4 linked regions of the Cricetulus griseus genome follow. The protein of the gene in region 1 binds, or shares a complex with, the protein of each later gene. Links are inferred from orthologs where the notes say so. Each region holds a gene or a part of one and is shown in the gene's direction. Other genes may lie near its edges.

Region 1 (7,016 bases):
GGGAAGGAGAGAGGATTCTGAGAAGGGTGGTTCGGAAAGTTAAACACAAGTAATATTCAGGTGACAGGACTCCACTTTCATGGAGAATGGGTCTTGATTGTGGGAGGGTTATAAACTGTTTGAAGGGGGATGGATTTCAACCAGAACTAGCAATACCTGTAATCCTAGGCAGAAGGACTGCCATGGGTTTGGGTGTCCTCGGGCTTTGGAGTGGATTCTATCTCACCGCCTCTAGCACCAGATACAAGAAACCAGTCTCTCTCTCTCTCTCTCTCTTCTCTCTCTCTCTCTCTTCTCTCTCTCTCTCTCTCTCTCTCTCTCTCTCTCTCTCTCTCTCTCTCTCTCTCTCTCCTCTCTCTCTCTCTCTCTCTCTCTCTCTCTCTCTCTCTCTCTCTCTCTCTCTCTCACACACACACACACACACACACACACACACACACACAGGGATTTTCCCAAAGAGAAAGAGACTGTTCTGCTGGACAGAGAAGCTGTTAGTAAAACAACTGGGGCATTTGGCCACACCCTGGAGGGCTTGGTCACCAGACAAAGGTGTGTATAGGAAGGTAGAAGCCTCTCGGTGGCTGGAAGACAACTTCCTTGGATGGCTTCCCCTTCATCCTTGTGCTTCATTCTCTCTTTGGGGCAGGGGGACAGAAAAAGCAGGAAGGGGAGTCTACTCCAAAGGGGCTTTACTTTTTAAGTAAAAAAAAAAAAAAAGATAAATTTATTCTCATTTTATAGTTCCGACACCAACTCTGGAGACATTCAGTTCTCTTATGAGCATGGCTGACTCTGGACTTGTCTCCCTAGTGGACCTAGGGCCTGCAGGTTTGACAGGACAGAGGAGGCAGGCACAGGTGACCTTTGTGGCTTTGTGCTCTCAGAGTTATAGTGTATTCTGGGGTCTAGTCCATGGTGTTTAATTCTTACTTCCCAGGCGCACAGGTGAAATCAGGAGTCTGTCCATCACCAGCGTGCAGAGCAAAGATGTGCTTGTAATTTGTCAATAGAAAAATGATACCATCTGTTGGAGATGTAGAAAATGACATTGAAGATGTCACTGAGGGTCAGGTATTAAAGCCAGGACTACAGGAAGGTCTGGTGTGTGGACTGATGCCAGATTTTGAAGAATGTTAATTTTAAAGAAAACACTCAGAATTAGAGAGAGAGACAGAGAGATGGGGTGGGGTGGGGGGGATCGGGTGGGGTGGGGCGGGGCTTTTTTTGGTGCCATTCAGATATTCTTTTTAAAACAGGTTAAATGTGAGTTATGAGTTTATACATTCCAAAATAGCAGGAAAATATGGACCTATGTTGGAATTGATTGTACATAAGAAACTGTGCTATAGCCTGCTGGGAATGGAAGGGTAGAGAACACCTTGGTTCTCACCGCAGTAATCCAAGAATCTAATTTCCTAGCCTTCAGTAGTCTTGTTTTTAAACCTCTTGTGTTTGTCCCCAATGTTGTATTCATGAGGCCCCTCCATGCATTAAAAATAAAACAAAACAGTGACCCTCTATGGCCGAAAAACTTGCCCATCCTTTGACTATCGGCGGTTAATTTATGCAGGCCCCTTTGCACTTCAGCTTTTCCCCCACTGGTTGCTAGGCAACCGCTTGAGTTACTGCGCATGCCTCTTTTATGATAACTGTCATTATGATTATTTTTTAATTATACAACTGGGACTGTGGATTAAAACAGCATATTGTCACTCATGCCTTGCCACTGCCTCTGAGCGTTCCCGAACACTGGTGCAGTCACCTTCCAAAATTTACATGCCAGGGGTTTATGATTATCTTTTGATGTTTCTGGCGTCACAAAGGAACCAGAGATGCCATCAAAAGGGCAGCGAGATTTTTTGTGGAAAATGACTAGACCATCTATCATAAGCTGTTATTGATTTAGAGAGGCCAAATCAGGCACTGGGGTCTTGAACCTCAATTATCCTTCTTTGTGGCTTTAACTGTGCCTGCTCCCAGCCTTAAGTGATGTGAAAACCGTGTTGCTCTGCAGCCTGCTCTTCCGAGTGACAGAACGCTAAAGCATTTCTCTCCTAAACCTGCTTTCAATAAACCCACCATTCTTTGGGGGGAGGGTACAGCACAGACTCTATAAACATGCAGCGTGCACGCATTAGCAATTGTCTCTCTCTCTCTCTCTCTCTCTCTCTCTCTCTCTCTCTCTCTCTCTCTCTCTCGCCTGAATTGCCAAATTGCTCCACACACATAAGTGCATTTAGGGGACGTGAAGGGGCTCCTCGGGCAAGGGATAATAGAAGGGACTCATGACTTGTAGAACACTGTAAAAGGAATGAGACAGGAAGGGCTGGAGAGAGCATACAACAGCTTCACATTTGCATTGCTCTGTATATTTTAACATATTTTCTAAATACACAGTGAGTTTGAAGACAAAGGAACGTGGGAGTCATGTCTGTGTGCTTTCTTTTAACCAACTCTGTTATTCATTTAAAATGGGACTTGGGGCTCAATAAGTTATTTTAAATATTTCTGTCATGATGAAAAGAGATTACCTCCTGACAGGGGAGTCCACAGAGTCCTTGCCACATCGTGTGCCTGTGACAGAAATGGGGACCTAACTGAGCGTTCATGTGATTTGAAGCCCTCCCAATGGGCATCAGCCTCCAATGCAGTGGTGGGCGTTTCCTCCATGTGCAGAGCCCCCATGCCTGTATCCGTGGGACCTCCTTTGCTTTGTTGACAGTCTCTGAAACGACCCTTTCCCTGAGGAGTGCTTTATCTGCTTTGTTTCTGTTTGTCTCCCCCATCCTGCAGTTCAGGGCGACAGCTCAGTGAAGTCTTCATTCAGTTACCTTCCAGGAAAGAGTTACCAGAATACTATGAATTAATTAGGAAGCCAGTGGATTTCAAAAAGATAAAGGTAGATACTGTGTTCACTGTTATTCTTCGAGTAAACAAAGGAGATGCATGGATGCTCGGGAGTGACGCTAGCTGGGGCTGGGGTCGTGGCCTCCTGGTTGCTAACCACTGACCTACACAAGTGCTTGCCCCAGGAAAGGTGGGGATGGGCTGACCTTGATCCTTTCCATGCATGTTATTTGATCACCGAAAGCTCAGATTATATACATTGCATGTTGTTGAGAACCCGCCTCTCCCTTGTGTGCACCTTCCTCCCCAGCCCTCGGAACACTGGTGGGAGGGTCTCGCAGTCCCACGCACTCAGCAAGGCTGAGTGCTGTGAAGACAAAGGGACATCGGGGCCTTCTTCAACAATAAGGACAGTTACATATTTCTCTTCTGTTTTGTTCAAAATTCCCATCAGGAAAGAATTCGTAATCACAAGTACCGGAGCCTGGGTGACCTGGAGAAAGATGTCATGCTTCTCTGTCACAATGCACAGACATTCAACTTGGAGGGATCCCAGGTATGTGTCAAGTTGTCTGAGAAGTGTCTAACCTGACCCATGCTGAGGTTCTCGGAAGTGGAGCATTTCCGTTTCGTTTCTACTTTTGGAACCATTGCCTCCACCCCAGCAGAGCACTGAAAACCGAAAGGCCTTGTTCTCTACTGTCAGTGTGAATAAAGGGAGGTTTTTTTGTGCGATATCTGGGTGGGCTTCTTCTCACACTTCCTTCAAGGCTCATCTTCCCATTAGAGGAAGAGTTCAAGAAAGCCATTGAAGGTAATGCTAGAAGGCTGGGTACCATCTGTGTACTTACAGAGACTGTATGCAGTGACAGCTTCATTTTTCTAACTTTAACTTTACACGAAGAGTTCAAAGTACAATGATTTAAAACAGAATAGGGGGTGCCTCTAATTGTTACTTTAAAAAAAATTCTTGACATTCCCTTCTCCACAGTCAGGAAGTCATTGTACATAACAGTGAATTTATGAGCATAAGGAGGAGGACATTTCCACTTTAATTACAACTCAATTCTACTTACCTTTGGTGGGAACTGATTTTTTTTTTCCCTATCTATCTTTCTGGCCTGATGCTCCCATATCCAGTAAAAGAGAAGGAGCAGGACAGGTCAAGTTACACAGAGATCCTGCATGTAGCATGTTGTCTAGCAGAGTCCACTTTCACAGCTGGGGATTGACAGTGATGTCTCCACCCATCTCTCCACCTTGGCCTCTCACCTTTCTCCTGTGCATGCTTGTCTCCCCGCAGCCAGCTTGTCCTCACCCTAACTTGTCAGCTCAGATCTCTGGCAGATTTTTTTCCCCCATTCCACAGTGTTATCCTTCTTGTTCCCTGCTTGTCATCACCATTTCCCTCAGGCTGACCTGCCACTTCCTTGACGATGTGGGTCATCTCCATGGCAAAAGAATTTAATCCCAGAGGGCAAAGGCCCATTTATTTATTCATCGCCCTTGAATGGTGGTCAGAAGACAACATAAACTTTACCACCTTAACATTTTTTTTTTCTCTTTTTTGAGACAGGGTTTCTCTGTGTAGCTTTGGAGCCTGTCCTGGAACTCCATCTGGAGACCAAGCTGGCCTCAAATTAACAGAGATCTGCCTGCCTCTGCCTCCCGAGTGCTGGGATTAAAGGCTTGCGCCACCACTCCCTGGCACCTTAACTGTTTTTTAAGGGTGGAGTTCAGTAGTGGTAAGGCTGCTCTCATGGGTGCTTAACAGGTCTCTGGTAGTATTTCATCTCTTAGAAATGACGAAGGCCTAAGCCTTTAGCAGTTCTCCCCTACCCCGGTTCCTATAACCACCTACTTTGTGTGAGTTTGACATGAGTGGGATTGCTTGGTGTCCATCTTTTGGTGACTGGCTTCCTAGGGTTCCTTTGTGTTGTAGAAAGTAACAGGAGGTACTTCCTCCCAAAAGCTGAGTCCTAGTCACTGCATCTGCCATGTTTTCTTTAGTCACTGATCTGTCTACAGATCTTTGAGTTCCCTCTGAATTCTTGGCTACGGTGCCTCTCCGGAACATGGGCATGTGGAGGAGATTTATTTCCTCAAGACTCTGTTTCTACTTATTTTGGGTATATATATCCAGAAGCGATGGTGGTTTTATCTTAATTTTTTGAGGGAAAGGACTATGTTTAGGTAGACTTCCTGTTTCTTTCAGTGGTGTTTCCTCTCAGCAGGGGAGGGTGCACAGTGTATTAGGTGACTTTTGGCTGCAATGAAGCTCGGCAACAGGGAACAACCCTGTAAAGGGTTCCTTTGCCACAGTATTTAAGAGAACCGCTTAAATAAGCGTGATTTAAAATATTGATTTTGTTGTCAAAGATACTGCCTTCTGCACCCATAGGTCCCAACACATTCTTTTGAGTTTGGCTCAGTGTGTTTGGTCTTCCTTGGAGTATCTTTGTGCCTGTATTTAGATTTTCTGTTTTATGCCGGGGTGGGGGGGGGTAGGGAGAGGGGGAGCGTGTGCTCAATGTTTAAAGCATTTGCCGCCTAAGTATGAGGACCAGTTTAGATTTCCAGAATGTGGGTAGGTTTAGGGGCTAGCCTGTAATTCTAGCAGATAGATATCCTGCCTCCATGACTAATCTAAAGAGTGACTGAGGAAGATTCCTGACGTCCACATGCATGGCCACCCACATAGGAACAAACACACTGTATACATAGGGGGAGAAAGCAATAGTAACATCATGGGTACATGTGTGTGGTATGTGTGTGTTGTCTAAGGAGGTGCATACAACAATTGCGGGTCTGCGGGCCTTGGGGTATAGTTAACAGTTGACACTTTGACCGTTTAGATCTATGAAGACTCCATTGTCCTACAGTCAGTATTTAAGAGTGCTCGGCAGAAAATCGCCAAAGAAGAGGAGAGTGAGGAAGAAAGCAATGAAGAGGAGGAGGAAGATGATGAAGAGGAGTCTGAGTCAGAGGGTAAGACCCTGCATCTGGCCCCTTCCACCTATCGGGCTATTTCCACAGGTACTAAAGGCATGAACACTTGCCCCGCTCATGCCCAGTTTTCTCCGCTGTTGAAATTGAGCACATCAGCCACAGAGCTCAGGACTGCCTAGGTTCATTGAGAATACTCTGCCCTCGTTGCCTTTGGATGTTGGCATAACCCTGGTGTGCATGCCACCTGTCACTCCTTAGCACTGTAGCCTGTAAACCTCCGATCTGGCTGAAGTCTTCTTGAAAGTGCATTTGGCAGCCTTAGAATGTGCTGTGTGGCTGCTACCAACATGGCTTGACAGTGGCTTTGCTTGTTGCAGTGCCCATCACTGGGGGACTGGTTAAATCAGTCATAGAATAAATCATGCATGGGAATATTTCCGATGTTGAAAAGAATTAAGCTATATGTGTGAGCTAACACATATTGCTAACTCCTGTGTGTAAGTAAAGAAAGAGCAAGGCATGGACAATGGGTGTGCCTGAAGAGCCATGTAATAACAAAATAAAACTTCAAATGTGTCTCTGTGTGTGTGCACACACACACCTATACTTACTTGGATTCTTGGTATGATAGCCTACAGAATTTATTTATGGTTATTAAGTATGCTTTTTTTTTTTTTTCTGGAGATAATCGCTAGAGAGCCACAAAGCTAGGTAAAGGAAGCATGTTGACATTTTTTATTTCCATTTTGTTCTCTTTCTACATTAAAAATGCTACTCAAACTACTAGAATTTTTAAGCTAAATAGAGCAATTTACACAGTGGAATCATCCTTTTTTAACCTTTGTAAGATTTGTTAATAGTTAATGTGTTTTTTTTTTTTTTAATTTGGTCACTACCCCGTTGAGCCATCAAGAACCAGGGAAAGGTTCCAAACCCTGCTCTGAGGTCTTTCTCCCAGTGACTACATCACTTATATTCCAAAGAGAACCATGCTTGCACTAGGAACAGGGAATAACTAGACAGGGTGGACTGGCATGCCAGTGAGGCTCTTGGGAAGTCTACCTTGTTATCTGCGGGTGGGATAATAGCTTTACTGATTTTAAACTCTCACCGTGGTCTCTTTTGTTTCTACTCTAGCCAAATCTGTGAAGGTGAAAATCAAACTCAATAAAAAAGAAGAGAAAGGCCGGGACACAGGGAAAGGCAAGAAAAGGCCAAAC
Region 2 (7,704 bases), on another chromosome or scaffold:
TTTTAGTCTAGAAAACCCTTTACCCCTTGTCTCATGTCTAAGGTCTGCTTAAGCAAACCAAATTAATTGATATCTTCTTCATGAAGAGTTTCCCTCTCCTCATGTTGGAATGGCTCAATGCCTCCACTCTGGGCTTTTGATACCTATCACTTTGTCTCACACTAATGTGTAAAAGCCTCCACACTTTGGACCCTTGACAGTCCTAAAAAGTAGAGGCACCCAATAAACACTCAAGGATATGACCATTGGGATTGTGTACACCAGGCCACAGTTGAAGATGGCTGGGATGTGGGGAGGGTTCCTTTTTCCTTTCAAGTCACATAAAGCAATTGCTCTGTTTGCTTGCAAGGTTAGTTCTCTCTGCAGATGGATGGGAATTGCATTTTGAGGGCTGTTACCATGCCTGGTTTGTTTGTTTATTTATCCATTTGTTTGGTTTGTCAAGACATGGTTTTTCTGGGTGTAGCTTTGCCTATCCTGAAACTTGCTCTGTAGACCGACAAGAGTGACATCAAACTCAGAGATCCACCTGTAGGATTAAAGGTGTGTGCCACCACTGCCTGGCTTTGCTGGCCACAGTTTAATGTTTCGCTTTCTTCAAAGGAAGTTTACTTCAGCTTAGTGCTTAGAACATACCAGAGCTCGTTGTGGATACCAGGAAACCGCTTACTGAGGTCACGGCTGCCTGTGCTGTGGATGAATGGAGAGATGGAAGGGGAACCTGCTCTTGCTTTTGATATAATCCTTCTAGTTCCCAGAGCCCTGGAGGAGCTTCGATCATTGAGGATGGCTTTTGCAGCACCTTTAGTTTGTTTTGGATGAGGGATGCTTCTTAGGACTGAGCCTAGGGCCTTGTGCATGCTAAGCAATCACTGTAGCACTTAGCTGTTTCCCTAATACTACTCTTACTTTGTCAAGGATTTATTTATTTGATTTATTTATTTTTATTTTATGTGTGTGGATGTTTTGCCTGCATATTATGTCTCTGTGCCTTGTGCAGTACCTATGGAAGTCATGGATACATGCATGTTTGTGTACCATGTGCATGTCTTGTGCCTGAATTGTTCAGGAGAGGGCATCAGATCCCCCTTGGAACTGTTGTTACATGGTGTATATCACTAAGTAGTTGCTGGGAGAAACAACATGTGCTCTCAACTACTAAACCCTCTCTAGTCCCTGAAATGTAACTAAAAAAATGTTTTGACATCACAATTAGTAAGAAGGGTTTTGGGTCTATGGAGCTATATCATGGAATTATTGATGTCATTGTTGTTCATTTGCTCTAATCAATGAGTTTCAGAAGTGGATAGTTATTGCTACATTCTATTGTCATCTTATTGGGATTCCCTATATTCTTTATGCCACCAGCTGACAAGTGATGGGCAGACAGGTGGATTTCACAGCCTATATTACTACTGTACAGCACAGCTAAAGACTAGACTTTAATTCTGGTCAAGTTTTTTTTAAGCGTGTTCACTCCAAGTCCCTTGTTTCTGAAGGTTCTGGCCCAAATCTGTGTCTTTTTTTATCTATGATACAAAAACCAAAGTTAGTAACATATCTTTTATTTCTCACAAGTAAAAAAAGTGACTATAACCAGGCAGTGGTGGTACATGCTTTTAATCCCAGTGCTAACCAGGCAGAGGCAGGCAGATCTCTGAGTTTGAGGCCAGCATTGTCTCCAGAGTTTCAGGACAGCTAAGGCTACAGAGAGAAACCCTGTGTCAAAATAAATAAATAAATAAATAATAAAAATAAAAAAAAGGACTCTAAAGTCAGACTTGAGGACTATAAAGTCAGACTTGTATTGACAGTTAAAATGACATTCCATCAAGCACAAAAAACAAGGCAATGCTATTTTTTTGGGGGCAGAGCCTTGAGACTGGGTTTCCTTATGTAGTCCAGGCTGGTTATGAACTTCAAGGAAGCGCCATCATGCCTGGCTCTCTCTATGTAGTTCATCAAAACCAGCTTTCGATACAGGAGACCCTGTAATGAGAGAAGGGGGTGGGGGAAAACAACACCCTACTAGGCAAACAAAGAGTTAAATATTTCCAGTCTGCACACACACGTACTCACTCAGCTTTGCTGGGCTTATCTGTAACTCTAATAGTGAATGGAGTTGGAATCTGAAAGTTCTGGACTGCTTTGTAGTTGTATTTTACTTTATTCATTGAGGGCAGTAAAAGGAAAAAGCAGGTGGAATTATGAACCAGCAGTTCAGCATCTCTCATTTTTTTTTCTTTTCGCCCCCCCCCCCCCGCCTCGCCATCCATTTGGCCGTATTAAACAGCTATGGGTCGGTAGCCAGGCTTCTACATGCTAACGACGCCTCTAAGTGCTTTCGCTCACTCTGAGCCTCCCTCCCTGTTCTCCGTGGAAGCCTGAGTTCGCAGAAGTCTCTCAGTTTCTTCAAGTGTTCGCCAGATTCTGAGCAGCAACAGACTCGGGAAGCCTCGAGTCACGTCGCAACATTGGCTTGAGAATTCTTTTTGCGTCCTATATTAGTCCAGAAAGGTGACGCCGGTATCCGCAGCGCCGTTCCCCGAGGGAACTCCAGCAACACCCACCTCAGGCTCTAACAATTTTGCTTCCTTAGCTGCGTTTGCTAAAGTTGCCTCAAATCTTCCCTATCCTTTTGCCAAAAGAGCGCCAGGTCTCCCTTTGCTCTCCAGCTGGCCCGTGTCAGATCATTGTGAATCGCTGACAGCGGAGAACGGTGTGGTCGTAGGGGACAGCGCAGAGTGACCACCCCTGAATTACGTAACAAAAAACCGTAGCAGCAGCAGAGGGCGAGCCTGACGCTGAGACATTCCAGGGGGAAGGGAGTTGCTGTCCTGGACTAGCCAGTTCCCAGAAACCGACAGGGGAAGGTGGCTGAGATAAAGAAAACACTTCGGGGACAAGAATATTCAACAGCCTCAGAACCTACAGCATTATTAACAATCGGTGAAACACGAGTAGCAATTTCTTGCAGGGAATTGCAGCCTTCCAACTTTTGCACTGAAATACGGGAGGTGTACCCGGAGCGGGGGTGGGGTGGGGAGGTAAAGACGGTGATATATGAAGTCCAAAGCTAATGAATGGGATTTAATGGTTTTGATGGCCCTATGTAAATATTCCTGCTCAGGAGCGCAAACTCTCTGCAGTTATTTAGTAAAGTAGGGGCTCAAACTAAGAGAGAATTCTCTCCCATGTGTGTCCACTAGCCCCAATCAGCAAGGGCGCTACTAACACTGTACTGCCCCTTTAAGACCTGCTCGCTCTCGGGCTCTACAAAAGGGAGTGACCTCTGGGCTTTGACAGCTCCCCTAATAACTACCACCACGTAGGCCCCGCCTACCTGGCGACCAGCCGCGGCGATTGGCCTGCAGGCCGGTATCCCGTGCTCTGATTGGCCTGCCGCTTCCCCTGAGCGAACCTTTAGAACTCTGAGACAGACAATATTCTGTTACATTGTAGCAAAATGGCGACTGTCATTCACAACCCCCTGAAAGCGTAAGTAAGACTAAAAAATGTACATATTCCGCGTGGTTTCAATATGAAAAAAAGGCGCCTTGCGGAGCGCAGCCGGCGCCCGGCTCTTGCAGACGCCTCCCGCTGCGCCCGGGCTCCTCTTTTCTTCTGCTCTTACTTCTTCATCTTTTTTTTTTTTTTTTCCTCCCAGCGCGCAGAAATGTCAGGAGATGCAATTAACAAAAAGAAAATTGTTACATCTGTGTTCTGCTTAATTGACTGACCCGGACCGGGAGGGAGCCCGGAGCGGCGGCGGCGGCTCCGGAGCTGCGGGGGTCTAGAGCAGCTCGGGCTGCACGGTCCCCGGAGTCCTCTGCCTCTCCCGGCACCTCGCGGGGCTGGCCGAGCCCGGTCGGAGCGCGGGGCAGGGGCCGCGTCGTGCGCTCCGCTGAGCCCTGAGCTTCAAGCCCGAGGCTTCCCAGCTCCGCGGCTCGTCGGTCCGCCCGGGCGGGCTGATCAACCGCTGCAGCTGCGGAGTTTGCTGGGCGTTCGCTCTGCCTTCCGAGCTCTCGCAGGGAGTTTGTGCAAACCTTCCGGAGTTGGGAGGACAGCGCGCGGAGCGGCGGGTCTCGGGAGTCCTGGGGCCCAGGTGCTAGCCCCGGGCTTTTCCACTCGAGCAGCCGGGGGATCAGGGAGGCGCTCCGGGCGGTCACCGGTGTGTCTGCGTATTTGTGGGCGAACTGGCGGTAGTAAATTAACGACCTGGATTAACTTGGGGGTTGATGTGGAGGCAGGGAAGCTGCAGGTCTTATGAATGGTGTGTTTGCCTGCTTTGGGTGAAAAGCCGAGGTAGGCGGAGGCGGTTCGGGGCTCTGGCGACAACGAGGGGCAGGTGCCTCCGGGAGACTTTGAGCGGACAGAGGGGGGCGGGCTGCGCGAGGATTCGCGGGGGCCGGTCCCCGGTCGGAGCTGCCTGCCTGCCTGCCTGCCTTCCTTCCTTCCTTCCTTCCTTCCTTCCTTCCTTCCTTCCTTCCTTCCTCCCTCCTTCCTCCCTTCCCTTCCTTCCTTCCCTTCCTTCCCTTTCTTCCTTCCCTTCCCTCCAGTCGGTGAACTGTGAATGTGAAGCCGCCAAGTCCGCGAGCGATCGTGGAGCCGCGGGTGGCCTCGGAAAACTAGTGTGGCTCTCAAGGGGCGCTATTGGCAGGGATGTTGGCAGAGGGTGGATCCCTGGGAATTGCTGCGCGGTGTGGGCTCCGGTCGGTGCCGGTTGTACTAGGACTTCCCCGCCCGGTGAAAGCCTCTGGGAGTAGGAGGGTGCGCGTGGGTGTTTCGTGCCAATTCTTCCCAATTTGTGGCGGTGGTCGACCCTGGCTCTTTTAACTGCCTGCTACAGCGTCCTAACCCGTGGAGTCAAAAACACGGTTCGCTTTGGAGAGCAGCAAGGCAGTGCGGGGGGGATTCCTAGTGCCAAGAAACGCCTAGGGAGAACCCGCTGCGTTTGCACCAGCTAGCAACCAGGAATAGGGCAGGGATGTCCCAGATCTCGGAGTTTCCACGAGATAATGCGGTAAAGAAGACACTGGAGGCTGAGCCTGATGCGAGTTCCTGGCTCCAGTTCTCGCTCGGAAGCTCAGCTACTTTGCACTCGCGACAGCATTTCACCTAAGAGAGAAAATGTTTTATGGCAGAATAAATGGGCGTAACTTCGCCGCGTCCTCGCCGACTCGCGCCGCCACACCGCTGATGCCAGGAGTTTCTCCAGAACCCACACAGCTGATTTGCAATTTCCTCATTTCCAGCCGAAATCACGTAGTCGAGCTGATGCTGCTTGGTAAACTGAAGTCTGAGAGTTCTATTTACTATGTGTATGGGGTTCCTTATTGGGAAAGCGGTCTCCTTGATGCCCGGGAGCGGGCTTACGCTCGGGCGCGCGCAGGAGCTCCACGCTCCAGGGTTCCCCAGATCGTTTCACTTTTTTTTTTTTTTTTTTTTTGACATAGAAGCCTGCGAGTGTAGGGGTAATGGGGGAAGGGACAGAGCAGCAAGAAGGTGGCCAATCTCGGTAGTGAAATTAGTTCTGAATTACACGTGTACTCCTTAATAATTGGAAACACCGTGGGATGCATTTGTAACTCCGTCTTGGCACACACACGTACACGGGAGCTCACACACATCACCACTGCCTGCCTTTCCTAGGAAGGAGTCAAGCCGTCACTTTGTAATTATCCGCCCCCTTTTGCATCCCATCCTCTCCCCCAACCCCTAGGGCTAAGGGTGTAAACAATAACCCCAACGGCCAAGGGTTTTGCAGCCTGGATATTTTAAAAACTCCGCACGCAGGAGCACACGCGTCGTTACTGGGAGACCGACGTCATCTGCTTCTATTATTATTATTATTATTTTTAAAAACTTGTTTAATAAAACATCTTGTATATTTCATTTGTTTTTAGAAGTTGCTGTTCAGGAAACAAAACACACGTGAATAAATTATGCATGGGCTAAATTAGAACAAAGCGCAGCGACACAGCAAGCCGAAGGGATGGATGGGGGCGCAGGGAGGAGGAGCAATGAGAATGGTTTGGAGAGCTTATGTGTTTATCCTTGTGTGCCCCTCCTGACAATGAACCGGAGCTCCAAACCGCATTAGCATTTTCTCCGTGTGCGTGCAGTCTCTCTCGTCTTAAAAAGGCAACACCACGGACGCCCCCTACAGAAACTGGTCACACAAAGATTTCCTCTTGGACTGCGGGATAAGTAGCAGTAGTTAGGGTATGGGGAAAAGCCAGCTCAGGTTTCTTTCATGCAATCTTGTGCAGGGCTCTGCCTTCTTAGACTATGGGTTACTTTTCATCTTGCTAGCCTTTTTTTTTTTTTTTTTTTTTTTTTTTTCCCATGTGGGGCATTCAATAATTCAATTCACTGGGTGACTGGATGGTTAACTTGAATGTCTTTGCTTTGCATAGGGTGGGGGTGGGGGTGGGGGTGGGGGTGGGGGTGGGGGTGTCTTCTGTAGGGTTCCAAGCGCCTGAAAACAGCCTTTCTTGGTAGTTTGCCTTTCTTCCTGGCTATCTTTAATCTCCCCTCAACTCCCCTTGTTGCTTTCACCCTTTCCTCTCTGAAGCTGACAGTCTGGCTTCTCCGTTGTAGCCTTTAACTTCTTGTTACTGCCCAACAGGGTGTGTTAGAGGCAGAAAGAGGAGCTGCCTGGACAGATTAGATCAGAAAGGAGACTCGGCAGGTGGCCCTACAACAAAGTGGTCACATCTGGACAAATATAATTCAAAAGCACGGATGGACATGTGTGGTGTGTAAATGTGTGTTGTGTGCTGTTTAAATTAGCAGCTACATTGTCTGAGTGCAGATTGTTGGAGTCATCCTCAATTTCTGTATACAGAGGTAAGGGCCACAGACGGATTTGAAAAAGGCATGTGTGTGTGAGAGTTACTATTGTATACTTGTTGATTTCTGTATACTTAGGAAATAAATGCTTAAATTAAAAAAAATACTTATTTTAGCTGGGCATGGTGGCACATGCCTTTAATTCCAGCACTTGGAAGCCAGAGGCAGGCAGGTCTCAGTGAGTTCGTGTCCAGACTAGCTACATAGTGAGTTCCAGGACATCCAGAGCTACATAGAGAGAACCTGTTAAAAAATTACTATTTTATGTGTGTATATTTTGATCTGGTGAGGTACTGTTACAAGTGCAAGTGTGTGTGTGTGTGTGTGTGTGTGTATGTATGTGTGTGTTGTCAGAGGACAACTTTGGAGTCATTTCTACTTCTATGAGTTGTGAGGATTGAACTCAGCTCAGACTTGGAAGCAAGCAAGGTTACTTGCTGAGCTATCTCTCCTTTCCTTATAATACTTTTTTTGTAAGTTCTAACCTTAATATTCTAGTTTAGGTAAATCACCTTCCCCCATGTCTGCCAACAGCACTTTAGACAGAGCAATCTCTCAGTGACTTCTCGAAACTCTGGCCATAAGCACTTAAACTGGGAATGCCTGCCACCTTCTGCCAGACTTGATCATGTACATATGTATCTATTTTTATAACTCCAAGCTCAGAGAGGAATAAATGCTATCATTACTTAATTACTCTAGTTAGGGCTTTAATACTTTAATTATTTGATTTTAAACAATGAGAAAAGCAAACTACTTAGTCATGTTTGTCACTATGATTCCATGTACACAGTTGCATCAAAACTTTACTTTGTAAAGAGTTACCCTAGCTTGGAGGTCAGTGCTGTT
Region 3 (7,514 bases), on another chromosome or scaffold:
TCCAAGAGGGCACCATTAGGCCCACCAAACAGCTAAGTAAGGACCCACAGGGCCCATGCTGGAACTGGTTCCTTTGGATTTATTTTATTTCTTATTTTTATTTTTGGTTTTTTGGGACAGGGTTTCTCTGTGTAGTCCTGGAACTCACTCTGTAGTCCAGGCTGGCCTCCAACTCAGAGATCTGCCTGCTTCTGCCTACCTTGGGATTAAAGACATGTACCCCCATTCCTGGCTGATATTGCACGTCTTTTTTGTTTTTTGAGACAGGATTTCTCTGTGTAACAGTCCTGGTTGTCCTGGAATTTGCTTGGTAGACCAGGCTGGCCTCAAACCCTGAGATCTGCCTGCCTCTGCCTCCTGAGTGCTGGGATCAAAGGCAGGCGCCACCAACTCCTGGCTCATTTTTAAAGTAATGTTTAGCTGTAGAGCTCAAGCTGGCCTGGGACTTATAACCCTAACCTGCCTTTCCCACAGAGGTAGTTTTCTACCGAGGGTGCTGTATCAGTACTCTTGGTGTTTTACATTTAAAGACTGTTCTGGAATGAAGGGCAAGCTGGCAGGGATCCTTTGGAATAATTTCCCAGAGGAGCTTGATTCTCCACCACGCCTTGCTCTTCGTGGAGAGTTATTGCAGTTACAAAAGGGCAGAAATGGACACTAGCTTTCTACCTTGCAGGCGTGGGAGAAACCATGATTCAGTGACTAATGATTTTAGTGGCCTGTTCCCAGACTGACAGCTTCTGGGGAGAAAGGAGGCAGTGTCTCAGATGGCCAAGAGGCAGGATCTGCAGCAGAGTTTATCACTAGAGAAAAAGATAGGAAGAGAGATGGGTGTACTAGAATCCGGGCCTTTAATCCCAGCACTTGGAAGATGATTTCTTCGAGTTAAAGAGTCCAGCCTGGGGCTGGAGAGATGGCTCAGAGGTTAAAAGCACTGCCTGCTTTTCCAGAGGGCCTGAGTTCAATTCCCAGCAACAACATGGTGGCTCACAACCATCAGTGATGAGATCTGGTTACCTCTTCTGTCGTGTAGAACACTGTGTACATAATAAATAAATCTTAAAAAAAAAAAAAGTCCAGCCTGGTCTACATAGGGAGTCCCAGGCTATCGAAGGCTATACAGTGATACTCTAATCTCAAAAAAGAAAAAAAAAAAGATCTGAAGAGTATAAAGGAAGCAATGCGTTGGGAATGAAAACAAGGCGGTGGCCAATAAGAGTGCTCGCTGGCTGCTCCTGCTCCTGGCGTTTGGTTCCCAGCATCCACAAGGTGGCTGGCTCACAACCATCTGCAACTCCGGCTGCAGGGGCTCTGACATCCTCTACAGGCACCAGGCTAGCAGGCGGTACACATACACCCTGCTAACACTCTCACACATACAATAACAGCAATTCTTTAAAAAGGACCTTGCTAGAAATAAAGAATCTTAGGCCCTGACCCCACTTCACTGAATCACAAACCACATTTTAACAAGAAGGTTCACATTTTGACTTTTCTTTTGATACAGGGTCTCCTGTAACTCTAGTCCCAACTGGTGATGCAGTTGAGAACGACCCTGAACTTCTGGCCCTCCTGCCACTCCTTCATGTGTAATGGGATTACCGGCATGCACCACCGTGCACTGTTTATCTAGTCCGGGGTTCAAGTCCAGGGCTTAATGCATGCTTGGCAAGTGCACTCTAAACCTGAGCTACATCCCCCAACCCAAATCTGAGGATTTTTCAGTGCTCATTAAAGTTAAGCAGCACCGATTCTGTACTGTGGGGAGGAGATCCCACATTAGCTGAGGGTAGGCGGTCCATTCCGTAGCCGAAACCAGTGGTTTCTGGAAAGGCCAGGAACTCTTCAAAACTAAGTCCTCTATGAACTGGAGAAAACTTGCTTCACTGCCTGGAGTTTTCTCGGCATGCAAAACTCCTTCACCTAAACTCACTTTCTGTGGGCCGACGGTGGCGGTGCGCGCCTGTGATTCGGCATTTGGTAGGCAGGGGCAGGGAGACTGCGGCGCGTCACAGCCAGTCTGGTCTACAAGGGGAGTTGCACAGCCTGGGCTGTCACTCAAGACGCTTGTCTCGGAAAACAAACAAAACAAAACCTCCGCACCGGGCCAAGTCAAACTTTTACCCAGCGGGGTCACGTCTGGAGTCACGCATGTCCCTGGCGGTTTCTTGGGGTGTGTGTGGGGCGGGGTGCTGGCGACGGCAGACAGCGCCCTATCCCACCGGCTCCCACCCTCGGGCGCCGGCGAGGGCTCTGGGTGAGCGGCGGCCGTCGCCTGGCTTTAGGGCTGACCCGGAAGGACAGTTTTGGAGGCGTGCCCCCCCCCGGCACCTCGCGGAGGGAGCCGCACTTGAGGAGCGAGCGGCCAGCACCTAACCGCGGAGGACCTAGGACGGTGACCTTTGAGCTCTGACCCCGCGCCTTTCCCAGCGCTTCCGCGTGCAGCTTCCGCTCCGGCTCCTCCGGGAAGAGGCGGTCCCAAAGGGCGGGGCTCTGTGGCCGTCAGTTATGGGCGGTGCCTGCTTGAGGCGGGTCTCGCGAGGGGCGGGATTTGAAGAGATAGTCTCGATTGGGCTGCTGGGAAGGGGCGGGGCCGGGCGCAGGCCCGGGTTGGGCGGGGCCGGGAGCGCGTAACCGCCTCTGGGTAACTGGACTCGGGCGGCGAAACCTCCGGGGGCCGGGAGAGGCCGGCGGGCTTGCGGCACATCCCGGATCTGGAGTCTCCCCGGCAGGAGCGGAGTCAGTGGGGCCGCGGGTCCTAAAGCGGGTCGGTCTGTGAAGAACTTGCGAACTTGGAATAGAAAACCCCGGAACCCGGCAGTAAAATCGCGAAGTCCCGGATCGCGGAACGCAGCTCGCGGAGCGGACTCCACACAGAGCCCGGAGGCCGGATCGCTGCACCGCGGGACGGGACAGAGCGATGTCGGGCCGTGGCGCGGGCGGGTTCCCGTTGCCCCCGCTAAGCCCCGGCGGCGGCGCCGTTGCCGCGGCACTGGGTGCACCTCCTCCGCCTGCGGGACCCGGCATGCTGCCCAACCCGGCGCTCAGAGGCCCGGGGCCTTCTGGAGGCATGGGGGTCCCGGCGGCCGCCGCCTTCCGCCCCATGGGCCCCGCGGGCCCCGCGGCGCAGTACCAGGTGAGGCGGGCGGGCGGGCGGGCGGGCGCCGCCGCGAGGGCGCCTGCTGGGTCTCCCCGGGGCCGCAGGTGAGGGCGGGCAGGAGTCGTCCCTGGACGGGCGGCTCCGGGGACGCTGCAGGAGGAACTGCCGCGAGCTGGTGGCGCGCCAGGCCGGGGTCCCTCGGCTAGAGAGAGAGGGGCAGGCAGGGTCGGGGAAAGGGTGAGCGCGGCTCTCCGGTGGAGCGCTCGAGCAGTTACAAGAGTCCCGGGGCTCCGCGGCTCACGGCTTCTGAGTAACTGAGAGATGTAGGCTCCGTGGGATCTGGAGAATTGTGTGCAATCGGGTTGAAAGAGTCTAAAGCAGGTCCCGGAGTCGGGGTCCGGGGGTGACCCGAGACGTGAGAAAATTTTGGAAGAGAAAACAGGGTTATCCTTTCGTTGGCCTCGGTCCCACTGCAACTCTGCCTTGGCTTTTTTTTTTTCCCTAGTTGGGAACTGGCAGAGCGTTAGTGTCTGAGATGGCTCCCAGCTGCTAGTTGAGGGGGAAGGAAGCCTGGCTTCCTACGCCATGGGGGGGACTAAGGAGAGGGGGCCCAGATGGCTCCAGGTTAGATTAGTGGCAGCGGCGGCCAGGTCTGAAGAAGGCCCAGTCCCAGTAACAGACTAGTCCAGATACGGTCTAGCATGGGCTTTCCATTTAGTGCCAGCGTCCAGTAGTTACGTTTGGAGGAGCAGAGAGGCTTTGTGGAATACTGCTAGGCGGGGGCTGCAGGAGTCTGCAGCAGCATCGGCTGCTTCAGAGGGCACTGCCCTGAGCCTTCTAGCTGGAAAAAGAGCAGTCAGTCTCAGGTTGCAGCTTCAAAGGCCCGTTGAGGAACGGGGGTGCGACTCTGTGGTCAGTGCATTGTGAACTCAGCCTGACCCGGCATGTGGGGCTCCTTCCCCAATGCTCTGGTGCAAGTTGCTCCAGGATGTTTTGAGGATTTTATGTTTTACTTAATGCAGTTTGGTGCTGAGCATGGAACCCAGGCAAGGCTTTGCACATGGCAGACAATTGCTATATCAGAGAGCTGCACCCCATTTCCCAGAGTGCCTGGGGATTGTGTTCATCCTTTCCCAGTATCCTTGCCCCTTTTTTTTTTTTTTTTTTTTTGATACAGGGTCTCATGTAGCCCAGGCTGGCTGTGTAGCCAAAAAAGCTGGCCTTGAACTCCTCCTGCCTCTCACGTGCTGGGATTACAGCCATGCACCACCACACCCAACCTCTTTGCTTTTACTTGTTCTCCGGGTTCTTGACAAGACCATAGGTATCTCAGCCTGTGAGCCACAGCTTCCTTGTTACTAATGTCTGAAGGTGTGCACTATAGTTTGCTCTGTCCTCTGCTGGTGTCTGTAGGTAGAGTAGAGGCCTCAGAAATAGATCCTCATGGAGTGCATATTCTACCAGGAATCAGATTTCTAAGGAGGTACCTAACTGGGAGTGGGGGTGGGGATAGTGACCCCCCCCAACTCTTCATTTCTCCTCTCTCAAAAGAAAATGAAGAATTTGGCTATGAACAGAGATAGACTTGGTCCCAAGGATACTAGTTGGGGTTTATCTTTCCCATGTTGCTTTCTTTGGAGATTCATGGGCCTAGTGTATCACTGATGTCAGTGATTTTAGTAGCCTTTGGCCCTGTTTGCTTGGAACTGATCTGGAAGCTTCCTATAGGCACTGAGGAGATCTGTCTCTTTGCTTTTTTTTTTTTTGTCTGACTTTCTGTGTAGTCCTGGCTGCCCCAACTCACTATGTAGACCAGTTTCTTTGGCATGCAGCTGATAGAAAATCTGCTCTTGGGAAAGCCCCTGTGAGGATAGGAAGATGGATTCCTCCATATTTTGTAAAGAGTAGCGCCTTGGGGTCTATGTTGAGGCCAAGCTGGCCAGCTGAATACCTGTGGCTACTAGGTGTGAGAAAGAAGATGGCCTTAAGTCTGGACATCCCATACCAACCAGGTTGACATCACCACCTTCTTCTTTCTCATTTCTTCCCCTCCTCTTCTTTCTCTGGGGAAGGGCAGAGGAAAAGGTGGGGTAAAGAGAATCCAGTTAACACTGGTTGACTTTGAAGGAGAAACTGCTTGCTTCTTTTCATGTCCAGGTACCTAACTTCAAAAGGGCTTGGGGTCTGAAGACAAAGGGGCTCCTCCTGGTTAGAGCCCTTGGGGGTGAGCGAGGATTTGCATGCTCAAGCTGGGCATATTGGGGAGCTTGTTGAAACAAAAGTAATGGCCCAGCTACCTACCTCTAGAGGGTTATTCTATCTAGTCTTGGAGTACAGTCAGCTGAAGGGCTTAACACCATAATTAAAAACAAAACAAAGAGACCTACTGTGCATTATTGCTGAGTTCACTCAGCTCAGAGTTTAGAATACTTTCTGTTCATAGGGTCAGGGTATGTTCTCCAAATGAGGCTCTTAGGCCCAGGCAGCCATCTGAGGACCAGAGCTACAGGCTTTAGGTCAGAGCAGAACATGCTTACTTGAGCCCTAGATTCCTACCCAGAGATGGCAGAGTCAGGCCTAGCCTTCTCCATTGTCTCCTTGGTGGTTACAGAATCAAGTCTAGAGTGTGGGGTGTTTGGCCAAGTAGAAGCAGTTACTGCATTTTGGGGTCCAGGGGACTGAACCAGGCCCACCTACCCCTGTGGTAGGACAAGCAGGCAGAGGCTGTGAAGCTGTGGCTATGGCTGTGACTTTGTTTTGTTTTCTAACCTGAGTTTTTAAGGAGGAGTTTCTGGCTCTTCAAAGCTCAGGTGTGGAGCTTGGCCAGGGGGAACTGGGACTTGAATTGTGAGCAGCCTTCCCCTGAGGTTCTGGGTGAGCTGGGGGCCTGGAGCCTGAGCCCCAGAAGTCTGGAGCAGATGTCTGGGTGGGGCCTATTCCAGGCCTGCCTGGGCTGCTTCGACTTGGGATTTCCTGGAGGGCTCAGCAGTAGAACAGGCTTTATGAACTTCAGTGAAGAGCTTGGGGGCACTGAACACCCCAGCTTATAGCTGCAATTACCCTAGGAAAACCTGAAGTCTTGGATGATGGTGGAGGGTCTTACAGCTGTGGCAACCCTGAGTTGTTGTCTACCCTCCCCCCCCCTTTAATTTCTGGCTCTGGCTTATTAGGGCAGAGAAACAGGCTGCTTTTGCCTTTCAACAGCTTTGATGAATTTCTTCCTGATGAGGAGAGACTTGTGGCAGGACTCCCGAGGTCCCAGGGTCTCCCACTTTTAACTCCTCAATTGCCACATGCCTCCCTGTCACCCTGCTCCTTGTCTCTGGGTCATGTTTCTTTCCCTCCGTCTCTGCTACTGGTCATGAATCTGACCTTCTGTGGTTGAGAACATGGGTTTAGTGCTGGATAAAGAAATTGCAGAGACTCATCTCCAGGATGCTGAGAGGGGGGTCTCCTTTAACTTGGTGTGAATCTCCACCCAGGCTGGCCTGGTTGTCTGGTTGTACTGATTGATTGCATAACCTGGGCCCTGGGGCCAGCCCTGTGAAGCTGCCAGGGACAGTCTGTGCAAGGCAGAGCTGCCAAACAGGCCTTTCAGGCAGCAGCCATGTGAATGGAGTTGGGAGGTGGAGGGCTCCCAGAAATGTTGGGGAACAGGGCCTTGGATGAGAAACCAAGAAGCTACTTGTTGCTGTTGACCCTTATTAAGCCCTTGCATCCCAGGTCAGTCTTATTCTGCAGCTTGGGATGTCTAGGGTTAAGTTGAACCAGCAGCAGCCTGGCTGCCAGGTGGTGCCTAGACCATGGGCAGAATCCAGATGTCTGCTGCTCTCATTCCCACAGGCTCCCAAGAACCATAACTTCCCTTTTGGGAGTCCTTTGACATAGGTAGGGGCATGGTGGCAGGGAAGAGTGTGAGAGAGAAGGGTGGGGGAAGGACAGGTCCCGGCTATGTGGAGGCCATATGGTGGCCAGATGGTGTCTGCACTCTCCTGAGGCCATCTCCACAAGCTGTGACATGGCCAAGCCATCCTATTGTCCTTGCTCACCTGGGGTGCTGCTGCCTGATGGCTTGCCACCCCACTGACTGCCTTTCTTCCCCAGTCATGCCACTAGACATGCATACCCCATCAGACTGTTATAACTCCTGTACTCCCTTGGGTTGCTATGCATTGCCCCTAATCACCCAAGTAATGTTTTTTCTTCAGGATGGGGAAAGGAATAGGGAGTATATAGTGGCCCATCTAAAGACAATAAATTGCTCAAAGCTGGCTCACCCCAGGGTGCAGGACATGGCATATTGAAGCTGGGAAGGGGTGATAAGTCCTAAAAAATTCCCCAGGCCCTTCTTTCTGCAAGTGGTGCTCCCCTCCCACCCATGGACTCTGGCTGCCTCATTTGTTGGCACTGCCTG
Region 4 (7,002 bases), on another chromosome or scaffold:
AAGGGCGTTAAGAAACATGATAATGTATGTGATTTAATAAGATGGACTAGTGCTTGCCCTTTTCTTGTAGGTCAGTCTTGCTTAGGTTACATTAACCTGAAATTAAAGTGTAATTGTTAGGCTTCAGGCCTACACATATATAATTAAAATCTATACTATGTTAGTTTCAACTTATTTTGCTATTTTTCAAGAGAAGTAAGTATACATGAGCCTTTTATTTGAGATGCTGAGGGCTGTTGGCTGAAGAAAACTAAAAGGTTGTTGCAATTGTTTGAAGGAGGTCAGAGGGTTTCAAAGAGGCACAGGGCCTTCACCCATGATCTTCAAGAGACTTTTGCACCTTCTTTCTCTCCTTCAGTGTTGGTCTTCAGTTTGTCTGTGAGGCCCTGTGGTTTGTTAGAGCCTGCGTACTGACAAGAACAATGCGCTTTTGTATGTTGGACTGTAGTCACGGTAGAAAATGCTACAGTACCGTATCTCTTTCTCCCTCTTCTGCTGTAGTCTCTCCTCCGTCACTTTTCTTTCTTCCTCATCCTTCTTCCCCTCTCCCATTCTTTCTGTTTTTTGAATATTTTTCTTCTCAACAAGATGAAGATTATTGGGTAAGAAACAATTTTAAATGGTTTAACAGGAAATTATGTATAATTTTAAAGGTAAACCCTGAGTTTTCTTAGTGTCTTTTATTATAGGCATTGTGTGTATTTTAGTGACTGTAGAACTTGAATTGCTCTAGGATGTGAATAACTAGGTTTGTGTTTTATTCCTTTTGAGTTGCTGTGTAAAGAGTCTCCTGTGAGGAATTCTCTCTCCAAAATTTAATACTGTGTAGTTTCTTCCCTGACTTTAGTGAAAGACACTGGAGTACTTACTATGCCAGTGTCTAAGGGAACTCTAAGCATTAAGTAAGTTTATCTTTTACATTTAGTACAGGTTATTGAAAGTTCTTCCTGCATATTATGGCTGTTAAGATTCAGTCTTTGAAGTGAACTTCCTAGCTATTTTTCACTGAGAACCTGGACACAGTGAAGCCATGTGCTTAGGGTGCAGCAAGAGTAGCTGAGTAACAGCTGCTGTCAGATGCCGGGAGAGCAGGGTATAAAATACACAGAGGATGGAGAGCAGTCAATGGGGACATTTTATATGTTTGTTTAACTCCATGATATTTATTATTTTGTAGAGACATTTGTGATTGTTTAGATATTGTTTTTATCATATTTATGTATAAGGTTGACTTTTTTAAAAAAATAAATAAGCCAAAAATTGTTTTTGAATGCCTCTGTCATCTTTTGCAAAGAAAATATTTTTAAAAAAGTAAAAGCAAATTATTATTTAGGTTTGACAAGGTACGAAAGTGGCAGTGGAACATTTAAAGTGAGACTGCTTTATAAAAGTTTGAGTTTAGATCTCTATGGTGCATCAGGAAAGAGATGCAATGCGTTTGACTGTGTTAGATTATTGCCCTGCTACCATCTTTGTCCCTCCCACCTTTTAACCATTTATTGACGCACACCTATATATAGTACATGTGAGCAGCGTCCGTGACGGTCAAGATTATGATGCTCTGTTATCCCTTCCTTGCCCTGGCATTGTAAGTGTAGGAAACTCCTTATATTTTATCCCATTCCATGTTTAAAGCCCAAATACTGTGTGTGTTTTTAATGTGAAAGATAATACTCAAAATATGCTTTGTATATTTCCTATTTGACTATAGTTTTTCCATGCCCAAAAACTTTTTATGTTTTACACGTCACAGTGACTGCTTCTCTCTTTTATCATAGTTCTTTTTAGACATGGAACAAGACTATGCATCCAACTCAGATTTCTATAGACATTTATGCATGACAATGTATGGACAAGACAGCTTCCAATTAAAATACTGAAATAGTGTCTTTTTTTTTTTTAGCTTAGATTTTGTAGGCTTAGCTCTATCACTGGAAAAACACCAGTTTTTGAAATAAAATGAACATAAGCTTAATATAAGCTTAAAACTTAGGCTTAGCTTTATGTGTGGTTATTTGGTATATGGATTTTCTTTCCCAACTATTAGTGGCATTTGACATCCTATTTCATTTTTCCTTCTGGTCTTTTTTTATAGAGATGATGCTGTGTGTGTAGGGAGCAGAGTGCTACATTTAGGCAACACACGTTGATGCGGTTTATGGAGTACAGTCTAGGCTTTCATTAGTTGGGGGTTTTATATTCTGATCCATCTCATATCCAGTTATGTCTTACAAAAAGGTTTTCATTATCAGATTACCAAAAGTAAAGATAAGGTAATAACAGAATCCCTTTTGAACCCATAGTGAGTTCTTCTGGCATGAATTTATAGCCCTCTTCTACCCTTCCAGCCAAAGGTCATTCCAAATGCTCTATGTGGAATTTGTCTGAAGGGTAAGGAATCCAACAAGAAAGGAAAGGCTGAATCACTTATACACTGCTCCCAGTGTGATAACAGTGGTAAGTAGAGATGTCTCCTTAAGATTTTACCTCACCCCTGCATATTGCCTTAAAAGCTAGGGTTTGTAGTTATCAGCTAGGTATCCACCAAAGAGTCAGCAAATGAATAGTGACTTGTTAGCTGTAGTCAGAACCCATGTATCTGCTACTTTGTATTTTGATGTGTCTATGGTAACATTAATCCTGGCAGCCATTCTTGGGAACTAATGTTTTATGTGCCTTAAGTTGAAAGTTCTGTTGTGAAATCCTATTAATGTTGGTTTTGATTTAGGCCACCCTTCTTGCTTGGATATGACCATGGAGCTTGTTTCTATAATTAAGACCTACCCATGGCAGTGTATGGAATGTAAGACATGCATTATATGTGGACAGCCCCACCATGAAGAAGAAATGATGTTCTGTGATGTGTGTGACAGAGGTTATCATACTTTTTGTGTGGGCCTTGGTGCTATTCCATCAGGTAAAGATGAAAAAAATACAAAAAAGCCCATTATCTTGTGTGATGAAGATCTCCCAGCATTCTTTTAAGGCTGTATAAATGACATGAACATGTTCCAATTATGATCAAGCTGTTACTGTCCATGTCACAGCTACCTGATTTTCATCCTTAGTGCAACCAAAGGAGAATTGAAATAGAATACTTAGGTTAGGTTTGGAAGTATTGTCTGAGGGATAGAATGAGCTGGTGTTTTCTACTAAAATTGCTAAAGTAACACCACCAGTTTGTTTCAATGCTTTCATTTTATTTTTAAGTTCGTCTATTTAGAAACTTAACAAAGTGACTGCTATGCCTTTATATATATACTAAGACATCTTCCTATAAAGTGAGGCAGCATGACAATTCCAGAAAACTTTAGGATGGACACAGAATCAAATAGTAAATCACAGTAATCCTATTGAAACATTATACAGGTAATTGTGCAATTTTAAGGACTTAAGTTGCATAGTTAACACTGTATAGTTCTCTATAAAACTCAGTTTCCTGGAATCCCTCCGTAAGGATGTGAATAATCACTCAGGTTCTGCAGTAATTCAGCTCAAGTGTGTGGTGCAGGTGCTAGTGTCAGAACAGTGGAACAGGCCACACAAAGCCAGATCCATTAACAAGTTCTACATTAGGATTGTGTTGTTGAGGTTTTAAAAGCATGATGGTATTTGAATTTTAGGATTACATATTTTTTTAAGGTACAAATGATTGTTTTGTGCCCTTTCCCCATCTTGTCTGTGCATTGAATTCCGAATTGTATTGGTTACACTGATTAAGGGTTGTTTACATTTTCTCCCTTGGCTTAAGGAGCTCAGTACTTCCCTCCCCACTGAAAAAAATCCCAGAGAGTTATCACTATGGACAGCTCAGGAATGAGTTTAGGTGGTTTGTACTCAGTCCTATAAAAATAAAATTCCACTCCATATTAACTAACAATTTTTCTCCTAGGTCGCTGGATTTGTGACTGTTGTCAGCGAGCTCCCCCAACACCCAGGAAAGTGGGCAGAAGGGGAAAAAACAGCAAAGAGGGATAAAATAGGTTTTTGACCTGACCCTCAGTTTGGGATATCTGGTGCCATTTTATTTACACTTTCATTTTTATGCCAATAAAGAACCTTTTTTGAAATTAACTATGACCTTAAACATCTTCAAGTTGATTTATTTCATTAGTAGCAACTCATACCCTTGAAAGAAAAAGTCAGAGAGAAATGTCTCATTTCCCAGATTTTAATCTCTTAGTGCTGTCTTTTTCCAGAGATCAGCAGAAAGAGGTAGCAACTTAATTTGAAATATTTCTTCTTGAGTCTGAAAAGTTACAGTCTTTTGAGACTGTCTTGACCTGCTTAGGTAGTATCAGTTACTTAATAACCAGAGCACTCCAATCTGGCCAACAGAGGAAAGGACAGAGGGCCCAACCATCTGGTACAACTGGATTTGGAATAGTCACCAGCTGGCACAGCAACAATGTGTAAATGCTTGCCTGCCAGGAGAGTATCAGGTTCCACAATCCCTACTGTGCACAGTGGCTCTGGGAAGCTTTTCCGACCTGGCTTTAGAACCTCTTTAAAACTGCAAGTGCCGTACTCCATTTAGTATGTCTACAGAATACATTCTACAGTCACCAGCCTTTATCTGAGTTATACAGCCTGTTACTGCAATAATCTTCTTACTCACCTGACTAACCAAAATGTATTTAAACATTTTATTGAGCAGACTCCTTTTTATGGGAATTTTAATCTCTAAAATAATTGTGCTTGCTGCTTTTCCTGCGTGGGGAGTAAACTGAGGTAACAAAACTGTATGGCTTTATTTTTCCATCCTAGTCTAGAAAAAAAGTAACCAGAATTTCACCAGGTCAAGTAGCAAGGTCCACAGCAAACTAGTCGCTCCGTGCAGATAAGGATTCAGAAGAGAATTTCAAGCACCAGTTTCAAAATGCTAATCAATATCGTCCAGAGGACCGACTCCTCTTCTTGGGCTGCCTCCTCTGGCGCATAAGCTTGGTTCTGACTGGCTCCTGTGGGGTCAGCAGGATAGGCAGCCTCTCCGAATGGGTACTGGTCCACAGTTCTGTCAGAGTACACCCTCATCTCAAAGTCGCTTTCATGGTGTGACGGGTGTCCGTAAATTCCTATCCCCACCGGGCGCTGGAAGTGCGCGGGTATAGAGACCACGTCCTGGCCGCAGGTGGCCGACTGCAGCTCGTACTCGTCGAAGCTCGGGTGCAGAGTGCTGTCGGACACGTACAGGTCCGCATCCCCCCTGAGGCTCTGCATCCGGAGAATGATTTTACCCTCGTGGTTCAACCGCAAGTAGCTGTAATTCCCGGCTCCGATCTGGCCCTGGACCACGTGCAGAAGGAGCCACTCGTGCGGGACGTCGTCCTCTTCCAGGCCTTCTACCAGGGTCAGCACCCGGGACGCCAGGAGCACCCACAGGGCGCACCTCCAGGGAGCGGCCATGCCTCAGACTCTCAGCTCGGGGCCTCCCTCATCTGCGGCGGCCGCGCTGGGGAGGCACGGGCGGCAGGCTGGGCCGGAGGTGCTCGCCCAGGCCGACCGGGACGTGTGCAGCTGGGTCCCGGGAACCGACGACAGTGGGGAAGGGGAAGGGGATGGACAGCGAGCAGGGCTGAGGAGGGGAGCGGCCAGAGGGGCGGGAGGGCAGGCCCCTGAGGGCGCAGGCGTCCGGAACGGCGAAGCTGCGGACCCAGGACTCACCGCCACGCCACGCCCCGCCCGCAAGCCACGCAGCACCCGCAGCATCCGGGCTCAGCCTGGAACTCGCCCCGGCAGGCGGAAGAGAAGCGGCGCCCGGAAGTGTACCCCGGAAACGAGGGGCTTGCTTTTGGGAACGGACTCCGGCCTAGTGACCGGAAGCAGATCGGCGCCGAGCTCTCGCGAGAGGAGAGAAGGGCTGCGTAGCGTTCAGGGTCCGCTTCCTCGTAACCATGGTAACTCGGCGGCGGCTCGAGCTGCGGGTTCCGGAGCAGACGGGCGGGCAGGACAGCAGGTGAGGCCGCCAGGGGGCGCTCGCCGAGCCCAGGCCCGCGACCTTGCCTGCAGCCCAAGCCCCTTAGGGACTTAGAAGCCCCGTGGGTCCGGACGCAGGCAGCAGCATCTGGGGAGATACTCCGGGATTTGTCTTAAACCATGACGGAAAGAGGAAACATTTAAATTTCCGCGTGAGAACTATTAGTAAGAAATGGTGTTTTTTTTCCTCCTCCTGAGTCGGTTCCAGTTTATGTAACACCATAGACTTTAGCTTGTCAGTAACGTTTGTCGTCGTCCCCCCTCCCTTCCTCCTCCTCCCACCAATTCTTAAGGCCACATTTACTGTTTGGAGATTTTTCCTGGTTTATAGACGGATGGCCTCGGTGCCGGAAAGGCAAGCTGTTCCGGGGAGCACCGAATCTCATCAAGGAGGATCCACCCCCACTACCGGCTCACCTCCTATAGATAGTTGGTCCCTCCCAGCCTTAAGACCCTCACCTGGGAGGAGAGGATCCGGCGTAGAAATTTTGTGGGGGGGATACATTCAAGCTATGGTGGCACAAAAGGCCCAAAATTGGTGGCTTGAACAATGGTAGTTTGTTAAGTAGGCCAACAGAGCAGGGTACTCGTTATTTTTTTATAATAAAAGAGAGGCTCTATGGACCCATTTCATAATTTAGGAAAGAACTGAAGCCTTAGTAATATCCGGGTGTCATCTTGCATCGTTCTTGTACCTCTATTAACTGAGGTAGACAGATAGATGATATAGATAAATAGATAGGTAGATAGACAGACAGACAGACAGACAGACAGACAGATAGACAGACAAGTGTTAGCCTCAATATCTAGGTCTACCGAGGACCTAAGTTGGAAACCAACTCTTTTTCTAGCTAGTGTGGAGAGCTTCCTCTTTTGCTGTAAGTACAACTTTAGGTGTATTTTGTGATGCCGCCATTTTCTGTGGGAGCCCATCCGCTATTGAGTTGCCTGATTCATTTTCCAAAATCAAGAATGAAGTGACACGAGTCTACCTCTGTAGCTACTGAGAAACATTTTTAATATTAT

Evidence for each region.
Region 2: probable global transcription activator SNF2L2 (region 1) and Dpf3 share a complex: the UniProt entries of both Homo sapiens proteins name them as parts of the BAF complex. The link is inferred for Cricetulus griseus from reciprocal best matches to the Homo sapiens genes SMARCA2 and DPF3.
Region 3: probable global transcription activator SNF2L2 (region 1) and Smarcd2 share a complex: the UniProt entries of both Homo sapiens proteins name them as parts of the BAF complex. The link is inferred for Cricetulus griseus from reciprocal best matches to the Homo sapiens genes SMARCA2 and SMARCD2.
Region 4: probable global transcription activator SNF2L2 (region 1) and Phf10 share a complex: the UniProt entries of both Homo sapiens proteins name them as parts of the neural progenitors-specific chromatin remodeling complex. The link is inferred for Cricetulus griseus from reciprocal best matches to the Homo sapiens genes SMARCA2 and PHF10.

What each region holds. Positions count from the first base shown.
Region 1 is NC_048596.1:34,602,635-34,609,650, reverse strand, and holds part of probable global transcription activator SNF2L2, read left to right. Parts: intron 1-2,793; coding exon 2,794-2,899; intron 2,900-3,301; coding exon 3,302-3,403; intron 3,404-5,702; coding exon 5,703-5,883; intron 5,884-6,933; coding exon 6,934-7,016. UniProt on the Homo sapiens protein: ATPase involved in transcriptional activation and repression of select genes by chromatin remodeling (alteration of DNA-nucleosome topology).
Region 2 is NC_048598.1:120,233,511-120,241,214, forward strand, and holds the start of Dpf3 (zinc finger protein DPF3), read left to right. Parts: upstream 1-3,397; 5' UTR 3,398-3,466; coding exon 3,467-3,498; intron 3,499-7,704. UniProt on the Homo sapiens protein: Belongs to the neuron-specific chromatin remodeling complex (nBAF complex).
Region 3 is NC_048600.1:119,217,394-119,224,907, reverse strand, and holds the start of Smarcd2 (SWI/SNF-related matrix-associated actin-dependent regulator of chromatin subfamily D member 2), read left to right. Parts: upstream 1-2,920; coding exon 2,921-3,136; intron 3,137-7,514. UniProt on the Homo sapiens protein: Involved in transcriptional activation and repression of select genes by chromatin remodeling (alteration of DNA-nucleosome topology).
Region 4 is NC_048595.1:293,989,216-293,996,217, reverse strand, and holds the end of Phf10 (PHD finger protein 10), read left to right. Parts: intron 1-2,348; coding exon 2,349-2,457; intron 2,458-2,728; coding exon 2,729-2,917; intron 2,918-3,179; exon of another isoform or gene 3,180-3,892; coding exon 3,893-3,978; 3' UTR 3,979-4,087; downstream 4,088-7,002. Other genes in the region: C2H6orf120 (UPF0669 protein C6orf120 homolog), read right to left, coding at 4,849-5,406. UniProt on the Homo sapiens protein: Involved in transcription activity regulation by chromatin remodeling. Belongs to the neural progenitors-specific chromatin remodeling complex (npBAF complex) and is required for the proliferation of neural progenitors.